Schizosaccharomyces pombe: one gene and its partner. Changing the gene in region 2 together with the main gene of any one other region gives a genetic interaction. Each region holds a gene or a part of one and is shown on either strand. Other genes may lie near its edges. The genes, in order: plh1 and dga1.

What was found.
Region 1: of dga1 (region 2) and plh1, changing one enhances a phenotype caused by changing the other (phenotypic enhancement), as found in Schizosaccharomyces pombe (2 studies listed by BioGRID).

The regions. Positions count from the first base shown.
Region 1 is NC_003423.3:3,199,132-3,212,191, forward strand, and holds plh1 (phospholipid--diacylglycerol acyltransferase Plh1), read left to right. Parts: upstream 1-5,268; 5' UTR 5,269-5,316; coding exon 5,317-6,300; exon of another isoform or gene 6,301-6,345; coding exon 6,346-6,415; exon of another isoform or gene 6,416-6,469; coding exon 6,470-6,497; exon of another isoform or gene 6,498-6,541; coding exon 6,542-6,569; exon of another isoform or gene 6,570-6,617; coding exon 6,618-6,701; exon of another isoform or gene 6,702-6,740; coding exon 6,741-6,980; exon of another isoform or gene 6,981-7,014; intron 7,015-7,021; coding exon 7,022-7,168; intron 7,169-7,213; coding exon 7,214-7,420; intron 7,421-7,444; exon of another isoform or gene 7,445-7,469; coding exon 7,470-7,537; exon of another isoform or gene 7,538-7,585; coding exon 7,586-7,628; 3' UTR 7,629-7,737; coding exon of another isoform or gene 7,738-8,903; 3' UTR 8,904-8,963; coding exon of another isoform or gene 8,964-9,035; 3' UTR 9,036-9,104; downstream 9,105-13,060. Other genes in the region: condensin complex non-SMC subunit Cnd1, read left to right, coding at 1,007-1,121, 1,192-1,270, 1,362-4,644; kgd2 (dihydrolipoyllysine-residue succinyltransferase), read right to left, coding at 7,738-8,903, 8,964-9,035, 9,328-9,448; protein Mis20, read left to right, coding at 10,891-11,652; rRNA processing protein Rrp7, read left to right, coding at 12,222-12,570, 12,619-12,986. UniProt on the Schizosaccharomyces pombe protein: Catalyzes triacylglycerol (TAG) formation by an acyl-CoA independent pathway. The enzyme specifically transfers acyl groups from the sn-2 position of a phospholipid to diacylglycerol (DAG), thus forming an sn-1-lysophospholipid.
Region 2 is NC_003421.2:210,126-220,625, reverse strand, and holds dga1 (diacylglycerol O-acyltransferase Dga1), read right to left. Parts: upstream 5,283-10,500; 5' UTR 5,203-5,282; coding exon 5,026-5,202; intron 4,777-5,025; coding exon 4,548-4,776; intron 4,440-4,547; coding exon 4,128-4,439; intron 4,036-4,127; coding exon 3,716-4,035; 3' UTR 3,527-3,715; downstream 1-3,526. Other genes in the region: plasma membrane high-affinity glucose/fructose:proton symporter Ght5, read right to left, coding at 6,673-8,313; SPOM_SPCC1235.18 (uncharacterized protein), read right to left, coding at 9,338-9,817.

The DNA of each region.
Region 1 (13,060 bases), on a different chromosome or scaffold from region 2:
ACTAAGATTCAAAAAAATCAAGTTTTTAAAATGTGTAACACAAACTCATTCCATGAATATAAGAATTTGCAGATTCCAGGTTCAACACCAGTTGTACATTGTTAAGCAAAATGCTCTTCTAATGAGGGACATTGTTACTTCCAAACAAGAAAAATACATTTTTAATCCAACTTTTGTTTAATAAAAAAAGTACTCTGCTATAATATTTGTATACTTATGGAAAAGATTAAGATTTCATGTCCTTTATCTTTTTTTAAATTTAGGACTTGCTTTAAAAAACATAAATCCTTTGGGCTCTTGTTATTGTTAATAACCACCATAAACAACTAGAATTGACTATTTATTGGACATTGAGAGTAAATATGATTAACCATGGTATTCAAACACGTTTTTTTTTTCTGTTATTTAAAAATAAATAAAAAAATTATCCTGAATTTGAAATTTATTCCTAGTTAAACTACGATAGGTTTTCTGTTTAGTTTATTGTGTATTACTTTAAAATTCTAAAAACAGCACAAATGCTTACCTCGTCAAAATTTGCATTCATAATAATTTTGAAAATCACCTTGAAAATGATACATGCGCCAAAATAAATTATAAGTTTTTATATCAGAAATACAGCTCAAGAAAGAATTTACAACTAACGTTATTCAAAAAATATATTAAATTCTTTTCAAAACATTTAATTAGAAGTACTAAAAAGAACAATAGCTTTTACGTGGCACGCTCAATAAAAGTTAATTAAAATATTATTTTTTAATGTAAACAAATGAGTTAATAAAAGCACGTTCTATATCCTTAAAGTGGTTAGCAACAATTAAGTCTAGCTCCTATTTTATATTTTGACTAACCGTAGCTCTTTTTTGTTAGTAAGAAAGTATAAATGGACCCCCACACAGGACATATAGGTGGGGTTATTGTTTACAAGGACTACTAGAATGTAGTACGCCAAATCCATCTTTTATTTCATTCGTAACATAGAAAGATTCGGCTTTCAGTGGCCTCAATGTCGTTGGATCTTCTTTCTAGATTAAAGAAATACATTCATGATGAAGAAAATTCCGACTTGGACTCGATTTATGCTGAATGTGAAAATGCTGGATTGACAGCCGTGGTTAACGGTATGGACATTTGGGTTTTTAAAAAAATTGAAAATGATCGATTCCACAATAACTAACAATGAAAAATTAGACGTCATTGATACCCTTTTATTAGGAACGAGTTCTTGTTTCGACGAGGATTGCTTGGAAAAACTCTTTGCTATATGTTCGTAAGTAGTTGTTATTTTGTGTTATTCAAATAGAAGGAAGCCATTTGGTTTACTATATATCAATTTTACCAAACTAACAATAATGGTTTAGACACTTTGCTGACCTCTCTTCCTCTGTAAGGAATAAAGTATATGATTTACTCACGAGTAATATCAGCTCTGAATCCGCTATTCTTGAAGATATGATTTCCGCAAATGCTACTGATTTTACTGTACCTCAAACGAATTTAGAAACTACAGGCATTGCATTTCAGCTCACGGTCAATTCCCTTTCTTCCTCAAATCAACTTTCAGTTATTCGGTCATCCACTAATACTGTTAAGGGAAGAAAAAAAAATCCAACTACTAACTCTAACTGGAATGGTATCTCACATGTAAATGCTTTGTTAGATGCAATCATAACATTATTTCAAAAAAAATTATCTCGTGTATGGACTACTTCTTCGGAAAGAGACATGTTTCTTTCACTTTTCCTAAAACCAATATACACGTTAATGGAAAGTGAAATTAACATAAAAAATGCTTCTTTCCGTTCTCGTTTATTTAATATTATCGGGCTTGCTGTTCAATTCCATAACCATACCACTGCAGCGGAGACAAATATTATTCAAAATTTACAATACTTTGAGCATTTATCTGAGTATGCTGCTGATCTTGTTCATATTGTTACCGTTCAGTTTAATTCCGTTACCTTGGCTGAAGGAATTATTCGAACATTGTGCTCTCTAGAATTTAATGATAACGATGTTAAAGGTCCCAAGCAAGTCGCTTTGTTTCTTGTCCGTCTTTCTTCACTTATTCCAAACTTATGTTTGAAACAGCTTACTCAATTAGTTAAGCTGCTTGATTCGGAATCATATACTCTGAGATGCGCTATCATAGAAGTACTTGCTAATGTGGTCATTGATCAAATTCATGATGAGGCTCAAAATGAAATGTCAGAGTCAGTGCCAGCAACTGTTCAAAGCTTAATGGATCTTCTCAGTGAGCGATTACTAGATATAAGCCCTTACTGTCGTACTAAAGTACTTCACGTCTTTATCAAAATATTTGATTTACCAATTAAGTATCCCAGAAAACGTCAAGAAATCGCGGAACTCGTGATCAGATGTTTGCAAGATCGGTCAAGTCATGTCCGCCGAAATGCAATTAAGTTATTTTCTAAACTTTTAACTACCCATCCTTTTTCAGTTATGCACAATGGCTTACTAACCAGAAATATTTGGGAGAAAGGATTATCTATCATCGAGGAACAGCTTAATTCTTTACAACCAAAGCAACAAGAAAAGGTGGTAGATTCAGAGCTTGAAGTCGATGAAAACTTATTAGAGGATGCTACTATGATCCAAGATGATGAGTCACATGAAGGAGAAAGTCACTTGGAAAATTCTCTAAGCGAATATGTCGATTCTGTTCCTGCTGAGGAAATAGTCAAAGTGAATTTAACGAAACGGTTTTATTTAGAAGCACTCCAATATATAGACATTGTGGAAGCGGGAGCAAAAATAATAAGCCAGTTGTTGTTTGCTAAAAATAAGAGCGAGGTAATTGAGTCAATGGATTTCTTTGTTTTTTGCAATTCTTTTGGAATTTCGTCTTCAAAATTATATATAAAAAAAATGATTCATTTAATTTGGGTAAAAGGAACCTCCGACGAAGGGAACAACATTCAGAACCATGTATTGTCATGTTATAAAACATTATTTTTTGAGCCACCTCCGAACTCTGGTACCAACGAAGCCGCAAACTATATTGCGAGAAATCTTATTTCATTAACATATGATGCTAGCCTTGCTGAGCTTACATCACTTGAACAGATGCTTTGCATTTTGATGAAAGATGGGTATTTTTCACATCTAGTCATAACAAAACTATGGCAAGTATACAGTTATCAAAAGAAGGATATATCTCGAACACAACGTAGAGGATCCATCATAGTAATTGGAATGCTAGCATTAGGCAATACCGATGTTGTCATGCAGGGCTTGGATCATCTTATTCAAATAGGACTTGGTCCCCCTGGTTTGGAGGATTTAGTTCTTGCAAGGTACACATGTATAGCGATTAAACGTATTGGCAAAGATGCGTCTGGTTCTTCTAATATTAATTTTCCAAATTCGCATACGCTTTGTCAAAAATTATGTATGCTTTTACTTCGACCATCGTTCTCTGAAGAGTGGTTTGGGTTAGAAGAGCAAGCTATTGAGGCTATATATGCAGTTGCCAAACATCCTGACGAACTTTGTACCAACATTATTTTGCTTTTGACGAAACAACTCTTCAAACCTTCCAATCATGAGAATACTACCAGTAACGATGATCATGCAATGGACGAAGATTTAGATGATTCTCCAGAAGAAGAAACATTAAAAGATGAGGAAGAAATAGGTATACGACTGGCGCACTTAATATTTTTAGTAGGCCATGTCGCGATTAAACAATTAGTCTATATCGAATATTGTGAGGCAGAGTTCAAACGGCGAAAAGCGGACGCCGAGAGATTGGCCGTACAGAACTCAAATAATCCTATAAATGGGCAAGAAACTTCTGAATATGATTTAATTACGGGAACAAGTGAAGATGATTTTTCAGAAGCAATGACATTTATTCGTGAAAGGGAGTTGCTCTATGGTGAGAATTCTTTACTTTCGAGATTTGCTCCATTGGTAGTAGAATTGTGCTCAAATCATAAATCGCACAATAATCAAAGCCTTTTACTAGCTGCTTCTCTGACTTTGTCCAAATTTATGTGTCTTTCTAACAATTTTTGTATGGAACATCTTCCATTGTTAATAACCATTCTGGAGAAATGTGATAATCCGATTATTCGAAACAACTTAGTAATCGGGTTAGCAGATTTAACTGTTTGTTTCAATCATTTTATTGATGAAATATCCGAATACTTATATAGAAGACTGATGGATGAAGAGTCTTCTGTCAAAAAGACATGCTTTATGACTCTAGCATTTTTGATTTTAGCTGGTCAAATAAAAGTAAAGGGCCAGCTGGGTATTATGGCTCGTTCTTTGGAAGACGAAGATGCTCGAATTTCTGATCTTGCTCGAATGTTTTTTACTGATTTTGCAGCCAAGGATAATTCTGTATATAATAACTTTATTGATATCTTCAGTGTATTATCTAGAAGTGCAGAGGAGCAGGATGAGGACGACGCTAAGTTTAAGCGTATCATTCGTTTCTTGACGTCCTTTATTGAAAAAGAAAGACATACCAAGCAATTAGCCGAACGTCTGGCTGCTCGTCTTGATCGGTGTAAAACTCAACGTCAATGGGATCATGTGGTGTATGCACTTTCTTTGCTTCCTCATAAAGCCGATAATATTCAAAAGCTCATTGACGATGGATATCATGAATAAAGTCAATTCTAATGCTTTATCTTACATATTCAAAATCCTTTGTATATTAGTATTGCCTAATTAAAAAGAAGAATGACGGTATACCTTTTTTATAACGAATTGAATGTTAATAACTATAACTTCATTGATCTACAACACCCATTATTTGCAACAATTAAACAATTCAAGCGCAAGTTAAGGTAATTTAGTTATTAGCTAAGTAATTTGCACATTCTAGCTGGGTCATTAATTATTTTTTGTGCTTATGAAGAAGATTTAACTTTACCCTAGAAAACTATTCACCTTCATTAACTGCTAAGTAAAACTGAGGAACTCTTCTCAATTTTAGGCTGTATCAAATATTGGTAAATTACATACTTGAACAGAGATCATTTTTTGGAACTGTCATCATCCTCTCAGGCTAGAAGTTTTGATAATAAATATAATCGGCATATACTGAGTATAAGTGCATTGTAACGTAACTCAGTTTAACTAGAAATAAGGTATTTCAAACTTTTAGACACTAAATCAAAATACAATTGTAGAAGGAAACCGATATTAAACGTGTTTCTAAAGCAACTTAACGCTCACTTCGTTATCACTCCTGCTGTAGAACTATGACAGTAAGGACTTCGCTTACTTATCGAATGTTTGGCAGTTGCTGCTCAAGCAATTCATATTTTAAAGTTAACTATGGCGTCTTCCAAGAAGAGCAAAACTCATAAGAAAAAGAAAGAAGTCAAATCTCCTATCGACTTACCAAATTCAAAGAAACCAACTCGCGCTTTGAGTGAGCAACCTTCAGCGTCCGAAACACAATCTGTTTCAAATAAATCAAGAAAATCTAAATTTGGAAAAAGATTGAATTTTATATTGGGCGCTATTTTGGGAATATGCGGTGCTTTTTTTTTCGCTGTTGGAGACGACAATGCTGTTTTCGACCCTGCTACGTTAGATAAATTTGGGAATATGCTAGGCTCTTCAGACTTGTTTGATGACATTAAAGGATATTTATCTTATAATGTGTTTAAGGATGCACCTTTTACTACGGACAAGCCTTCGCAGTCTCCTAGCGGAAATGAAGTTCAAGTTGGTCTTGATATGTACAATGAGGGATATCGAAGTGACCATCCTGTTATTATGGTTCCTGGTGTTATCAGCTCAGGATTAGAAAGTTGGTCGTTTAATAATTGCTCGATTCCTTACTTTAGGAAACGTCTTTGGGGTAGCTGGTCTATGCTGAAGGCAATGTTCCTTGACAAGCAATGCTGGCTTGAACATTTAATGCTTGATAAAAAAACCGGCTTGGATCCGAAGGGAATTAAGCTGCGAGCAGCTCAGGGGTTTGAAGCAGCTGATTTTTTTATCACGGGCTATTGGATTTGGAGTAAAGTAATTGAAAACCTTGCTGCAATTGGTTATGAGCCTAATAACATGTTAAGTGCTTCTTACGATTGGCGGTTATCATATGCAAATTTAGAGGAACGTGATAAATATTTTTCAAAGTTAAAAATGTTCATTGAGTACAGCAACATTGTACATAAGAAAAAGGTAGTGTTGATTTCTCACTCCATGGGTTCACAGGTTACGTACTATTTTTTTAAGTGGGTTGAAGCTGAGGGCTACGGAAATGGTGGACCGACTTGGGTTAATGATCATATTGAAGCATTTATAAATGTGAGTCTCGATGGTTGTTTGACTACGTTTCTAACTTTTGAATAGATATCGGGATCTTTGATTGGAGCACCCAAAACAGTGGCAGCGCTTTTATCGGGTGAAATGAAAGATACAGGTATTGTAATTACATTAAACATGTTAATATTTAATTTTTGCTAACCGTTTTAAGCTCAATTGAATCAGTTTTCGGTCTATGGGTAAGCAATAAATTGTTGAGATTTGTTACTAATTTACTGTTTAGTTTGGAAAAATTTTTTTCCCGTTCTGAGGTATATTCAAAAATACAAATGTGCTCTACTTTTTCTAACTTTTAATAGAGAGCCATGATGGTTCGCACTATGGGAGGAGTTAGTTCTATGCTTCCTAAAGGAGGCGATGTTGTATGGGGAAATGCCAGTTGGGTAAGAAATATGTGCTGTTAATTTTTTATTAATATTTAGGCTCCAGATGATCTTAATCAAACAAATTTTTCCAATGGTGCAATTATTCGATATAGAGAAGACATTGATAAGGACCACGATGAATTTGACATAGATGATGCATTACAATTTTTAAAAAATGTTACAGATGACGATTTTAAAGTCATGCTAGCGAAAAATTATTCCCACGGTCTTGCTTGGACTGAAAAAGAAGTGTTAAAAAATAACGAAATGCCGTCTAAATGGATAAATCCGCTAGAAGTAAGAACATTAAAGTTACTAAATTATACTAACCCAAATAGACTAGTCTTCCTTATGCTCCTGATATGAAAATTTATTGCGTTCACGGGGTCGGAAAACCAACTGAGAGAGGTTATTATTATACTAATAATCCTGAGGGGCAACCTGTCATTGATTCCTCGGTTAATGATGGAACAAAAGTTGAAAATGTGAGAGAATTTATGTTTCAAACATTCTATTAACTGTTTTATTAGGGTATTGTTATGGATGATGGTGATGGAACTTTACCAATATTAGCCCTTGGTTTGGTGTGCAATAAAGTTTGGCAAACAAAAAGGTTTAATCCTGCTAATACAAGTATCACAAATTATGAAATCAAGCATGAACCTGCTGCGTTTGATCTGAGAGGAGGACCTCGCTCGGCAGAACACGTCGATATACTTGGACATTCAGAGCTAAATGTATGTTCATTTTACCTTACAAATTTCTATTACTAACTCTTGAAATAAGGAAATTATTTTAAAAGTTTCATCAGGCCATGGTGACTCGGTACCAAACCGTTATATATCAGATATCCAGTACGGACATAAGTTTTGTAGATTGCAATTAACTAACTAACCGAACAGGGAAATAATAAATGAGATAAATCTCGATAAACCTAGAAATTAAAAATCATTTACTTTAAATAAATCGACAAACGAATATGATAAATAAATTGTCTTTAATAAAAAGCATCACTATCATTCAACCAATCATGCCTCTTTCAAAAGTTCCTGTTTTATACTAATAGCATTTTTGCAGGATCTTCAATATATTCCTTTACTAAACGCAAGAAAGTAACTGCTTCACGACCATCAACCATTCTATGGTCATAAGTAAGAGCCAAATACATCATCGGCCTTGGAACAACTTGGCCGTTGATAACAACAGGTCGTTCCTTAATGGCATGCAAACCCAATACAGCTGTTTGAGGAAGATTGATAATAGGGGTACCATAGAGGGAGCCAAAAATACCACCATTAGAGATGGTGAAAGTTCCACTAGCCATGTCCTCAATAGCTAATTTGCCAGCACGCGCTTTTGAACCCAAAGTTGCAATAGCACTTTCAATTTCCAAAAGGGACATGCTTTCAGCATTACGAATGACCGGTGTAACTAAACCTTTAGGGGTAGCAACAGCAATGCTGAGATCACAAAAGTCGCGATAAACAAGAGTATCACCCTTTCCTTCACCTTCTATGGAGCCATTGATTGCAGGAATTTGCTTCATAGCTTGGGTGCAAGCCTTAGAGAAAAAACTCATGAATCCAATTTTAACACCGGTTTCCTTCAAAATTTCATCCTTGTATTTCTTACGGAGGGCGACCACAGCAGACATGTCACATTCGTTGAAAGTAGTGAGAGAAGCCGCACGATTTTGGGACTCCTTAAGGCGCTCAGCTATACGAAGACGCATGCGATTCATTTTAACACGATCCTCATTACGGGAAAATGAGGAAGGACGAGCGGTCTCTGTAGCTTTAGGCTTACTTTGTTTAACTGGTTCGGATTTGGCAGGTTTAGGCTTAGGAGAAGAAAATTCAGGTTCTTTGGCATCAGGAGCAGGCTTAGTAGAGGAAGGTGCAGATTCCTTTTGTTCAGCACCGAGGTCAGGCATGGGTTTCTCTTCAATGGGTTTAGAAGAATCTTGAGGAGTTGAAAGGTCCTTAGCTGCATCGGCATCTGCAGTTTTGACTTCATCTTTCTTTGGACCGGCACTACCGCCTTCAGGAGGAGCGGCACTCGTATCAATGACCGCAATATCCTGATCAATGGTAATAGTGTCACCTTCTTTAACGAGTTGTTCCTTTAAAACACCGGCATCAGGAGCTGTAACGGGGGCATCAATTTTATCAGTTTCCACACTCGCGATTTCCTCATCCTTGTTGACATATTCTCCAGGTTCTATCAACAAAAGTCAGTATTTATAATAGCAAAAAATCTTTTTTTTATGAATCAACTTACGTTTTAACCATTGTGCGAGGGTACCTTCCGTAATAGATTCAGGAAACGGAGGCGTTTTAATGCGTGTACTGGCTAAAAATATAGTTAATGATTTTTGAAATTGAAACAACATAAGAAAAAGTAAATCCCGAAGATACTGAGTGAAAGGAAGAAAACATAGTTGAGAATTCCTATTCATGTGTGAATATGACCTTGTGAAGAATTATTTAATTATTTTGAAATCAACAGCGTCCACTTGATTCAAAATAAAGTTTAAGACAGATGCACTTAGCAAAAGTTGATTCTTATGAGCAAGTTGAGTACTAACATATATATCCCGTCTCCTTTAACAAACAATATCTACATCATGATCAACAACACATACCATAACGGGCCCAAAGGACGTTGGCCATGGATTTAGACACTGGAGCAGTGACTGAATATCCTGAACGTAGAGATAAAAGACATTTCGCCATCATGCGAAAGCCATTGCCGTAAGAAGTCATTATGATGGTTTTTCCGTAACAAGTAATTTACTTCAATCTTGAATAAAGACAGCACAAGAAAAAACAAGAAGAATGTACGAAAGCCAAATCAACTAACAGTGGCTTGCTTATTTTGTATTATTGCTAGAGGGGGTTGTTGTATGTGGTAGAAGGTAAATATGCTACACCCTTATAAACACTGTAATATATTATATGGAGTATGAGTGCACGGTAGTGCTTTGAACCTGTAGAATCCTATTCGGTGTGTGAAACCAGTATGACCTATGGTAGGCCATTTATAAAACCTTATTAGGAAATGTAGCTGGGGGTAGTAAAGAGATTTGATGAGAGTCACTGTATTTCGTTAAACATTGTTTAGAAAGGATTTGGAATAATAAAGGTTTGCTACAATACACTAAATTGTAATAGTGTGATGTAAAGACAGCAAAAATGATAAACTATTAAGGATCAATATATGAAGTTGTTTTAAAGTTGAATTCAAAAAAATATTTATCAATTTCGGTTTTCTCCTTTTTTTACATTGACATTTTGCAGATATCCAAAAGAATAAAAATAGTATTGAAAGGTGTGGGACTCGAACCCACGAGCTTTCGCACTAGTGCCTTAAACTAGCTCCATAACCACTCGGACAACCTTCCTAGTTGTACGGTTCTATCCATAGACGAATATATACAGTAAAAATAAAAAATATTTGAGCTGTTATTCATACGAATGAATTATTATTATGAATTAATACCTCATATATACATTTGATATTGAACATTGTAATTAGTTTCAAAGGCATATGACTTTTTGGGTCACTGCCGGAACAATATCAGTCGTAAGGAAATGCATTGCTTGCCCGCACACGAGCATTAATGAATGTTTCCGCTAATTTGCAAGATATTCGCTCTGAACTTACAGAATGAATAAGTATGGTTTAGAATTAGAAATCACATTGGTTTCGCAGCTTGAGAGAAATGTTTGTTTTACATTGTAAATAGTAAGCTTATTTGTCGCGCGTTTATTGGTATTGCTATTTCTATATATAGAAAAAAAAAACATTTTCCTAATACTTCATCTCATCTAGCTCTAATATATCGAAAATTCCTAGAAACCCTTTTTTTGCGATCAAAACATTCAATTAAGCTACATAAGTTGTATTCTACAAAATGTCAGCGGTTCGCTGTATCAAATAAATAGTATATATAAACTCTATACCTCTTTTGTCTTTATCATCCCTTTAATCAATTCCTAGGTTTTTCATTGAAGACATTTTTTGCAAGCACCTACAGTATATATATCGTTGATTTTATTTACCTTCTTCACTAACCAATTTTCTTGAGCCTTAACACCTAAATGAAGCAATTATTGAAAAGTTGGATTTATCCAAATCTCAAAACTTTGTTAAACTTCATTTTAACCTAAAGTCATATCTTTAAAAAGATAAATCGCATGGCAAAATGTTGGAACAAAGTGAATCGCACGCGTTCATAAATAATGCACCAAAAGAAGATCGAATCCAAGTGAAATTTGAACAATTATTTGAATCTCTTCCTTTGCCATTGCGAGCTGAAGAAGCATTGAGTAAACTAAGACATGATTCTGCAAGATTGATGATATTAAAAACTTCAGATCCTACGTTAAATATGTCGACTTATAGTATAGAGGATTCTCCGATGGGCTTTGAATGCTTAAAATATAATTTAAGTGACAATAATAAATTACTTTCACAAAATAATTACCGATTACCAGACTATTTAGAAGAGGATGAAATAGTCAGCTATACTTTTTCAAAAACCGGTCCCACTACTTCAAAAAACAAGCATCCATCACATTCTAATACAATTAGATCACCTCCTTACAAAGTGAAAAAAGAATCATGTCATACAGAAATCAACAACGTGTCTAATGTTTCTACGGAAAGTATCAACGTTATTGATGCATCGAGGGGTTACTCGCCTTACACATCAGTGGATTCTCTTTCTGTGAGTAAAAACCGTTCTTTCATATCTCTTGAAGAATCAGCAAGTAACCAATATGATGCTGCAGAAGCTTTTTATTTTAATGCAGACTCATCCTCACCGTTGAGAAAACTTAGCCCTATAGAGCTTCCTGTGACTCCAATAAGACGCAAAACCCCTACAATTAACCCAAACTCAGAACTTAAAAGACTTCAAACTTTTGGAAAACTGATTTTGCATAAGGGAAGTCGTAGAAGGTAGTGAGTCCAATCGAACAAGAAGTATACAATAACGTTTCTTTGTTATTACGAAAAATTTTGAATGACCATTTTATAATGCAAAAAGTTACCTTAAGCGTGTGCAGTAATTTATTCAAATATCAATAATCCTTTTAAATGACTATACCGAGCACTATACTTTGTATGAGTAGGCTATAAGGATCTTTTTTAAAAACGTTTATCTTGGTTAGGAACACTAAATGCAATTAGCAACCACGCATATCAATATAGCTGTATTTTTTTATTAATTTACAATCCAACACCTCTAGCTCCCAATTCAATTATTACATTGCTTTTTGGAGCTTTTATTTAGCAGCAAATAAATTACAAGTTGTATAATTACATTTTTTTTTTAATCCTAGAAAATAAGCAAATCTTAGTTTAATTTTCGCTTATTCTAACATTCTTAATGTATATTGTATATAATAATAATTATAGTCACAACGAGATGAAGTATGCGAAGGTATAAGAGTATACAGCTCCTATGGTCTTGCCCTCGGTCAAGCTCAGTAACAAATTGCATTTTACCCAAGAACCAAACAACTCATATAAATGGACAAGCTCAAAGAAAAAGGGTTTGTTAAACTAGAAATTTATTTGGAAAATAAAAAGAGGTTGCATAGTATATTTTTGAAAGAAGACACGGAAGATGTTGAAAAGAAGTCACTGTATTTGATTAATGTTCCTATCACAACTACTGAAAAGATTTTGAAAAGAGCAATTTCTCAATTGGGCGGTCGTATCGTTAATATCTATCCTAATATTAGTGGCCTTTTGAAAAGTGGCACCCATTTACGCGTCAAATTAGTCGAGCCCGCTGAAGTTAAACAAGTTATCAAGGCAGCTTCTAAAAAGACGACCTCGCTTCCTTGGAAGTTCACACAGCATACTGGTTTGAAACGTAAGAACATGGTCATTATTTTTTTGGAAATACTAATGTGTTTAATAGGTTATGTAGAAAGTTATGATAGACAGTTTGTCAATCCACGTGTTCTAGCCGAAAGTGTTGATTCATACATGAAACGTGTTACTAAAAAGGAAATAGCAGAAAAGAGGAGACTATTCGCTATGAAAAATCAACCTGATGAAGATGGATTCGTAACGGTCGTTCGCAGCGGCCGGGCACCTGTCGGGCGACCTCAGGATGCTGAGCGTCAATTGGAAAAGAAAAAAGACACTGGGATCCACAAAGATTTTTACCGTTTCCAGCTTCGGGAAAAGAAAAAGAAGGCTCTTTTGGATTTAGCTCATAAGTTTGAGTTCGATAAACAGCGTATCCAACAATTAAAAGAAAAGCGGCAATTCAAACCGTATTAATATTATAGGTTTTAATCTTTTTGGGAGCATCACAAGGATTTGTTTTAGTTTGTATATTTTAGGGATAATGGTAA
Region 2 (10,500 bases):
AGTGAGTATGTAATAACGCAGTAAACGTATATACTGGTTTTATGTTGAGTTTCTTAATGATGCATAAGGAAATCTAAGTTGGGGTGAATAAGAAGGGCAGTGACAAAATAAATGTGTCAGAAGCAATTACATTTTGAAAATGAGTTTTGGAATTTTACTTTTCACTTGCTATTATTGAAAAAACAGTTTGCTTTGAAACGACTATTGCTCATTTATTTATGTTGAACGGCGGGAACTGAACTCCAGAGTGAATATTCTTGATTTTGCTGTTTCGTTTGTCGCAATCATAGCAATTAATTCGCGCATGTGTTTTGTTAAATAAAGAATTATCTTGATGAAACGAAGAATAATTACACTTCCTTGAAAAGTTCTATAGATGAAGAAGATGAATTGAAGACAGATCATGAAATTGATTTGGAAAAAGGACCCCTCCCAGAATATGATTCAGAGGAGGAAAGTACATTGCCTCCATATTCAGGTAAGAATTGTAAATAATAAGAAAGGAATTATTCAATTGAAAGTTGAAGCTTGCCATCGTAGTCAAATTGCATGCTTTGGTCATTGTTTACAGTTGGCCATGCAATGCACACACTTTGATACATGCTTTTTCTTAACTAAAGTCTTTCAATCATATTAATTTAAACAGATCATGCACGTTTAAGCAATTCTCCTAACACACATAGAGAAAACAATCCTTCCAGGTCGACAGATAATTCTTCCCCTTTGTTGATAAAACTGCTAATATCATTCACTTCAATCATTCTATTCAATGCTCCAGCAGTTTGTTATCTAAAGTATAAGGACGCTTTTTTTAAAAATTATGGTGCAGCGGAATGGACATTATTTGGATTTTGGTGTCTTGTTTGCACTTTGGCTTTAATATTCTTGACTTGTAAGTGAGACGATGGGGTTATTCTTACCTTCAGTCACTAACTCATTAGACTTCTATGAAATTTGGACCAAGGCAGTTAAAGTAACTGTAATTTTCTTGGCACAATGTGTCAAGGCTTGCGGAAAAGGAATCAAGCACTTTTTAAAGAAGTGGAGAAACATGTTTTTTGCTTTTTGTAAAAGTTCTATTTTTTGCTTGGTTTTATTAAAAGGTGTAAACAAATTGAGTTCACATTTAGGTGATCAACAATGGGGATGGAAATGCTCGGCATCCGCTTTCACTTTCATGGCTGTATCAAGCATTCTCATATTCATTGCTGAAACAGGTTTGTTGTTTACTAAACAAAATTAATACTGACAACATAGTGGAACCGGGATCTTGCTCTACGCATTTACTGACCAGACTTGCAACAACTTGCGGTAAAGATGATAAAAAGAAGTGTACTTTAAATGTGTTTACTAATTATTTTTAGATCGTGATGCCAGACAACACGTGAATGAATACACTGCTATTCCGTTACGTGAGATGAACCCTGAAAATGAAGCCTAATTATATTGCTAACTTTACTATTGATTTATAAAGGCGCTTTTCTCACGAAACTTCTCTACAAGAATGTGCAATGGAAAGAAGCATCTATATAATTGTGATTTACCAAACAAATCATGATGTGTTTAGAGTATTTCAGATGTATTTTTATTGCATGATTTCATTTCCTGACGAAATGGATGAGCAAGTGCATTGCTTGAAAGATTCTGCGATGTTGGATAACATACACTGGGAATTGAATATTAAAATAATGGTTTTATTTATTCGTTTTAAAATAGCAGTTCACTAATTGACTGTTATCATCAACTAATGAAATTGGAAAACTCGCTGTTCCTCCTTGTTGTATTCACAATTTCATTGTCGTTTATTGCATTCATTTCTCTTTCATCCTGATTCTTAATGAATCAAGCTTAATCATCATTTTTTCTTCTGTTTACTGGTTCAATTCAAACAAATTTCAATGTTTACAAAATAATGAACAGCATAATAAAATATTGTGACTTAGATAGACGAAATGTTATCGCAATAACATGTCAGCTACGCAGTTTGGTATTTGTTTTAACAATACATAGAACTGTGTTGGGTTTCCTTGTGATCTATTATATTGCGATACGCAGGTAGTATGAGTAGCAACTGAGTATAACATACCTATCCCTAATATAGCATATGACTGAACTTCGTTCCTCAGTTCAGTAGGAGCTCTATTTATAATATTTTTATATTGTTTGTTTTGACACATGTAGTAAATAGTTTGCCTTGGTGACTTGAATACAACGGATTTGCAAACATTACATCTATCGGTGACAACGTAACGTACATAGGGTAGTATTGTTAATGAAATTCGAACACAAGAGTCATAGTGCTTTACACTATATTATGCACCTCTTCATCTTTGAGCCTATTCTTGAGCATAATTACTATTGATCATCTTGTAATTTCATAAACATTTTAATTAACTGCCAAATGAATATTTTGCTATGAAGATGATCTATTCGAATGTTCCTTAGTTCACATATAATCTATTCCAGTATGTTTAGAGTACTACACCCATCACTCTATACATCTTTTAATAGTTATATTGATTTTGCGGGAAGCAAAGCGTCGTATGAAGATCACATGCTTAACCATCGTAGAGTGTGTCCATAAAGCTTATGAGTTGAACATCGAATGCTTCAAGCAATTAGCAGGTACGCTTTTAGTTTGATATATATACTTTTTTTTAACTTTGGTTTAAGGATGCTATTGAAATATTCGACAATTCTATTTTCCTTCTCACAAGACTCTACCCTTATCAAATTTTGAAATTTAGCGATTTGCAGTCTGAGATCGACTCCCTACACTTGTTTTATAGACCTTTTTGCTCGTTTTCGAAACTACAGTAATTGGGTTAATACTAGAAAAGCAATAGCTAAGAAGAAATGGCCTCTTTTTTTTTTAGAACCGAATCTGCGAACAATTTAAAAATGCTTATATAGTAAATTCCTCGTTCCTCATATAAGGAATTTTGTTAGTAAAGCACGACTTGAAATTCCGTTAAAAAACACTCACTTTAATTTCCAATTAGACAATAGGAAACATTGGGCGTACATGGTTGCTTGAATTAATTAAACTTATTGCAGGTCTGAACCTTCGAACCATTTGTGAAAATGCCTCCAATAAAAATCGTTTCTTCTAATTACTGAATGAATATTAGTAACGCTTGAAGTAATTGTGAATACCTATGAATCAGTAAGACAAAGATAATTTCCATTTATCCTTTATAGCATGCAGTGTACCAATATTAAACCTGATCAGATACCTCAAAGGGCTGTAACTTTTACTCTTTGTTTGAATTTACAAACCCTGTCAACTCATCAAATGTAAACGATCGCTAAGACTTACTGAATTATTTAATAAAGGCGGCAAAGCCCATGCCTTCGATTTAATACTCCCCGCCAAGTATGCCATCTAATTTATATACTATTGCATACTGCTGCGTCGTCTTTTAGTCACAAACGAAATTATCGTCTCATGGCTTGCTGCATGATTTTTACTTAGCATGATAAGACGATTGCATGAAAGCAACCGCCTTTACATTTAATTGAAGAAGGGAACAGAAATAAACAAGTCTAAAGTGCCTCAAACATTATATTGTAAATTTTTGCAAAATAAATATAGCTTATAAACTGCTCTAAAGAAGGAAAAGAAGAAATCGTTAATGATATAAAATCTCACAACATATTGCATAGGCCAATAAGAAACTGCTCTTATTTTATGTGAAGACTTCTTCATATTAATTTAGGCTGACAACTTCAATTCGCTAATACGATTTGGTAAAAACACATCTTTGTATTTGTTCCATAAGCCTTCAAGTCTTCGGATGTACTCTTCATGAACCTCATAGATTTCTTGATTTGTGGGGTGAGACTTTTTAGGAACATCGATGGGCTCTCCAACAACGATGTTAATAGGTTTACGCCAAGGCATCAACCCAAAAGTTTTGTTTAATAGTCCACGACCATAGAAAAAGGGGACTGTAAATCCTGCAATTTTTTTGACAATTTCTTGAAATTTGTAGATACGAGTACGCGGATTGTTATCAACCTGTTCAAAAATGTCTTGTGTTGGTTAGCAAGATACTAAAGTAAACAACATCAAAGTAATTCGACGACTTTTTAAGCTATCTAAAAATACTAAAATTCAATCTTACCAGACTCTCCAAAAGCAAAGCAAGGGACTAAACTGGATCCTGTTAAAAAAGCTAACTTAACGAACCCGAAACGCTTTTTAAGTACAAGATTGTTTTGACCTGGACGGGACAAAAGAGACTCTTGAGCTCCCCCGATAACAATCAAAACACTATCACCTGGCTTACGGGAAAGAATGCTAACACAGGATTTCTTGGATACTGAGTTGATGTTTAAAGCCATGAGATAGTCACGGTAAACCGGCACATAAAAGTTAGAATTAAGGGTCAGGACAGAAACGTTGATGCCAGGAAATAATTTACTAAAATCGGCCCCTAATAGCATAAGGTTAGAAATTAAATAAGAAAACTATGTGTGGAATTAAAAGGGAAAACACTGATGTAGAGTAGCCTCTAATTTCCGGGTTCTCCATCATAACATACCCTCCGAAGCAAAACCACCGAATGCACCAAGCGAAATAATTCCGTGTGGATGATATCCAAATATGTAATTTTTTTCAGAGTCAAGCTCAGTAGTTTTATGCAGACGAATGGGGAAGTAATGACAAAACCAACGATAAGGGGGAGCATTGCGCAGCCAACGTTTTTGCCGATCTTTTCCTGTTACAAACCCATCGTCATATATTAACCAAATCAAATAAACAATTAAAAACTAAAGGAATGAAGGATTAGTAAAATGGACTGTAAAAAAAAATAGATGGATCAGTTTTCAACATTTGAGAAAGGGAAGCGAGACGGATTATTTTTGTAGTCCGAAAACCGAAAAGTACTTAGTATCATCGAACAAACATGAGATACCTAACGCCTTTTTTCAGCAATTCGAATCGCGATACATTTTGCAAATGAAGTTTCACTTTCAGAAATCATTGATATTGTAACATCAGAAAAGATGCTCACTTACAGGCCAAAATGGGAGGAAAGCCCATAAAACTGTATACCAAGATGCCGTTAATGTCAGACTGACACTATGAAGGAATACCGCTAACGCTTGTAGCCAGTGACTGACGTTACGTCTACTATCTTTTGAAATAGGTGGAGTAGAAGCTATGATTCCGGGAATTGATGTTTCTTCTGACATTCCCGTTCTATATAATCGTGTTAACTTTTTCAACGAACAGTTTTCTAAGATTTCCTTGAAATTGTGGTTGGCGGATGGCTAGTGTTAATTTGATGTCATCCGCTTCTTTATCCAAGATACCTTTACCTTCCTACTAACATCTCCTTTTTACACCGCATGATCTTTTTGTATATATGTAACAATTTTTTTAAATAAGTAAAGCATGAATGAAAAAATTATCTGCATTTAGGTCAAATTTTCCGGCTTGCCCTGAGCACTTCATGAAGCCTCTTTCATTGACAGTCAGATATTGGAAAGACACTTTTCCCTTTGCAAGCAAGTCAAACCATTTTTAGAAAACTTAATGGAAACTTTAAACATTTAACATTTTTTTGACGTACACTATACAATGACTTATTCAAATCTTTGTAGAAACATAATTTCAAATGTTGCTATCTTAAACTATGTGCGGTTCATAGTAAAATGATAGACGAGAGTGGTGGTTTAAACTTAGAAGGCAGTGTACATTCTTACTTTTAACATTTTTATGGATTCCAATTAAGTTATCTTTACCTTTGGCAAGCATATTAATTAAATCACTACCCATGGATTCAATTTTTTCTGGTATTGACTACTATCGATAATTAAAATTTTTAATTTATTACTTATAATCACCGTTTTGAAAAACGAAAATAATCTTGAAAATTTAAAGAAAATGTCATAGATACTTCTTCAACGATTACATTGGCAAAGGTGACTACGCTAACTCATCCCAACTTTGCACAAGCTGCAATAACATATCTCAATATATGTATAATGTGTGTGTGTTTATGTATACATAATTCCGTTCCTCTAATCACCTTACTCATTCAAATTTTTAACAAACTTGAAAAATTGGCTTACATACTGATTTAGACCATTTACCTGTATTTATGTATATATATATATTTATACTGTTTTGGAAACTTTTTTATCCTCTAACGATGACGATAAATTTACAACACAAAAGGTAAGTATAGGATAAGAAGATGCAAAAAAAATATTTTTTTGTTAAACAAAAACTTGGAAAAACATATTATATATTCAATACAGTAACGACCATTGGAATAAATTGTAAAAAGACAGCAAGGGAAAAGAGACTTTTAAGAAATCCAAAGCTCATTTCACTTATTAAGAGCCACAATCGACTAAAGCTAGGAAAATTAAATAAATCCAAACCAACATTAAATTTAAAGCATGAAATGATGAGACAAAAACTTTCCGTATGCCTTTCTGGGTATTCATTCATTTATCTTCCAAATGCAGCGAGTGAGACAAGAATAAATTAGTTCCAATCTTTAAAAAATGCCACCGCTACTCCTAACAAACATCAGAAATTTTCAGGGATATAATAAAAAACAACAACAGGAATCAACGAACCACGACAAACATTAAGCTTAAAATAAGCGCATTTTAAGCTTTTTATAAATATTGTTGTTATCAATCAGCAATCTATGCGAATTGTTCTTCCTGATCGTGGTAGCTAGATTCGGGCTTGGCACGGCCATCCGAAGATGTTGTGGAACTAATGTCATTGCTAGAGTCCTCAATACCTTCCTCACCGTCAACGTTTTCAAGATGAGCGGCACTTTCGCCTTGAACACCACGGGATTTTTCACGAACCTCTTCTTGTTGCTTGGTGAAGTTACCAAGGTTCTTAGGTCTAGGCATCCAGGGCTTAGCACCAGAGATATATAGTTCGTTAATCTCTTCCAAGGTAAGACCTTTGGTTTCATGAGCAAACAAGAAAATAATACAAGCAGCACACAAGTTACAAGCAGCGAAAATGTAACCATACTTGAATCCAATGGAGTTGGTAATGAAGGGAGTGAAAAAGGAAATAAGGAAACCCCACAACCAGTTACCAGTGGTAGCGACGGCAGCACACTTGGAACGATAACGAATGGGATACGATTCACCAACGATAACGTATGCGGCAGGACCCCAAGTTTGAGCAAAACTGAAAATGAAAAGACATGAGAACACAATCATAACGGCACCGGCACGATGGTTTGAGGTACCATTCTTACGAGTAAGAGCACGATTACCAACAGCTGCGTAAATGAAGAAAGTAATGGATTGCCAAAGAGCACCAATAATCAATGGCATACGACGACCAAAGAACTCTAGGACGAAAAGACCACCAAACGTACATCCAAAGTTAACGGCATCAAGAATCAAAGCAGAAAGATAAGGAGAGTTCATACCAGTACCCTCAAACACCTCGAAACCATAGTAGAAGTAGTAGTTATCACCGGTAAGTTGTTGAAGAGACATGACACCAAGACCAAGGAAGGTACGATAACGAATGTCGGGACCAAAAATTTCGGGCCAAGTAGCGGGACCACCAGCCAATTCAGCTTCACAATCAGACTTAATAACATGGTATTCCGTTTGGATAACTTCGTGTTCGATAGGAAGATCGTTGTTCTTGGCCATAATTTGAAGAGCCTCTTCATCTCTACCAACAGAGATCAAATAACGAGGGGATTCAGGAAGGAAAGAAATACCGATGAAGGTGATGATACCCCAAAGCAAGTTAATACCCATGGATACACGCCATTGAGCAGTCTTGTGCAACTTGTGAGTACCCATGTTGATACAAGCGGCAATGAAAATACCACCAGTGACAGCCAATTGATAGGTGGTGACAATGGTACCACGAAGATCGGCGGGAGCAACCTCAGATTGGAAACCGGGGGCAAGCACAGACAAGGCGCCAATGGAAAGACCAGTCCAAATCTTAGCAACCATGATTTGGACCCAAGATGGGACAGCGGTAACTTGAAGAATAATACCAATCAAATAAACAATAGTCCAAAACATAATAGAGGTACGCTTACCAATGCGATCCATAAGAGGGGAAGAAAGGAAACAACCAAAGAAAGAACCAACGTTAACCATACCAGTAATTAGACCTTGCCGCGCCGAAGAATACGAATACGAATCTGTTACCGGATTATACCGATCTGCGAAACGAGATTGGAAATCTCTCATGTTGGTGATACCACCAATGGAACCGGTATCGGCGCCAAACATCCATCCGGCCATGGACACGAAGACCAACATGACAATGGTCAAATTTTTTCCCATTTTTGAAAATTACGATTAAAAGGGTAATATAATGGAAGGAGAAAAATTAATAAAAAAAGATATAAAGGGTTTGATTGTAAATAGGGTTAAAAGACAACAAAAAGCTTTCAATGACAAGACAAAAGCCCAAAATAGAACCGAAACCGAAGTTTAACTATCGTTATAACGCAACAGTGAAAAAGAAATTTTTTGAACAAGCTAGTAAAGTATTTTTGCTTGCTTGCTTGTTTGTTTTTCTTAAAAAGGGTATAAGATTTCTTTTTTTTTCTTTTAAAAAAGATGTTTGGAATTAAAAAGGCAAAAAAAAAAAGAAACGACAGATGAGTTTAAGAGAAGGGTATATAGAGAGGGAGAGCGAATACGCAAAATACAAGACTCAAACAAAAGGAATGAGAGAGAATGAATGGAAATTTGGAAGATGAACGATTCCTTACAAATCGAAAAAGGCACAAAACACAAACTACTCGAAGCAAAATAAAGCAATCGAGATGGGAATGTGAAAAAAAAAAGAGTTTTTAAAAAAAACACAAAGGTTGAAAGGGAATTAACTTACTAACAATCGCTGAAGGGAGAAAGATACACACAGACAGCTAAAGTTGGACGCAAGACCTGACAAAGGAATTAACGATGATAAGGAAGGTAATGTAGTGTAGAGATGGATAAAACCGATTGTTGGACGAAGGAAAAGACCGGGTTTGCAGTTATAATATATACCAACAAACGTCCCATCTTGCCCATACCTTGGATGCGGGGTTAAGTGTATGAAGTAGGGTGTAATAAGAGGGGAACGCAGAAATGCCCACTCTTGCGCTTGGAGACACGCATTCTGATTGGCGCACGTCGGAGTAGCTAAAATTTGACAATACAAATGGGAACACTCTCCCATACCCCATCTTTTGTTATACTCCACAAAATTGCCTTGCTGACAGTTTTACCGAACGGACAAGTAACGACGCATGGATGGAAGCGCCAAGGATGCGAAGATGATGGGAAAGTAGGCCGACACACACGTTCCATCCCAAAATCACCCATTATGACAAGTGAAGTATGGAGAAGGAAAGAGAGGAGACAAACACTCTCTACCAAAGTAGCTACAAACTACACTGTGGAGATGAAAGGGTATGCGGGGTGTGAATGCGAGACAGAGGAGAGAAAGACAAGACAAGACAAGAGCAGAGTAGAACAGACTTGGAAAGGCATGAGAGAGAGAGAGAGAGACAATGAGACAGTGAGAGATGGGAAGGGATGTAACGGTACTGACCCAGATTGTCATGTCTAGGCTGTCATGCCATGCTATGCCATTGCATCGTAGTGTAAGGAGGGGAGTGATTGCAAAGAAACAAGGCTTTGATAGCACTATGTACTCTATGGGCGGCTGAATGGTGAAGGAAATACCGAACGAACAATCGAATGCCGAGTGGTACAAGGAAGATGAAAAAAGAGTGGATGAGAAAATCGATGAGTCGAAGAGGGAATCATAATTACTAGGATTTCTTGGTGTCATGGCTTATCATTTACTTTTCCTAAAATTGATTTCATTTCATTTCGCTTCGCTTCCTTTCATTTCCCATCCTCTTATTTTTCTTCATTTCTCTTCATTTCGCTTCCTTCTTGTCGCCACCTGATGTGGGACCAAGGTACAATGGATTCAAAGTTAATTCTTACACGTCCAACGATTTCTGCACGTTCTACGCTACTTTTGGAAAGGTATGCATCATCCTCCTCCTCCTCATGACAAGCTATCTCCAGCATCAGGCAGTACGTTTACCACTTGAAGCTAGAATGTGAATGGACCAACGAGGTGAATGTAATGGCCAACAAAGTGAATTTGAATTGACATTCAGGTGTTAGTCCATTCAAAAGTCCTCCAACTTATGAGCTTGATGTCTCCCTCACATCCAACTCTACTCGCCTCTATCTATCTACAGCATCTCAAGTCTTTTTTTTTCCAATTGCTTCTCCCTGTGATCCTAGCTATCTACTAACTATGTACTAACAATGTTTTAACTAAACTATCGTCCTAATATTTTTTTTTTCACTATCTTTTTTTTTATCCTCTTTTCATCTTTGCTTTCCTCCTTCTTCATCTTCACTAACCTATCTAACCTGTCTAACCTTTCTAATCTTTATTAATCACTCTATCCTCTCTCTCTCTCTTTCTCTTTCTCCTCAATCACTCACTCTCAT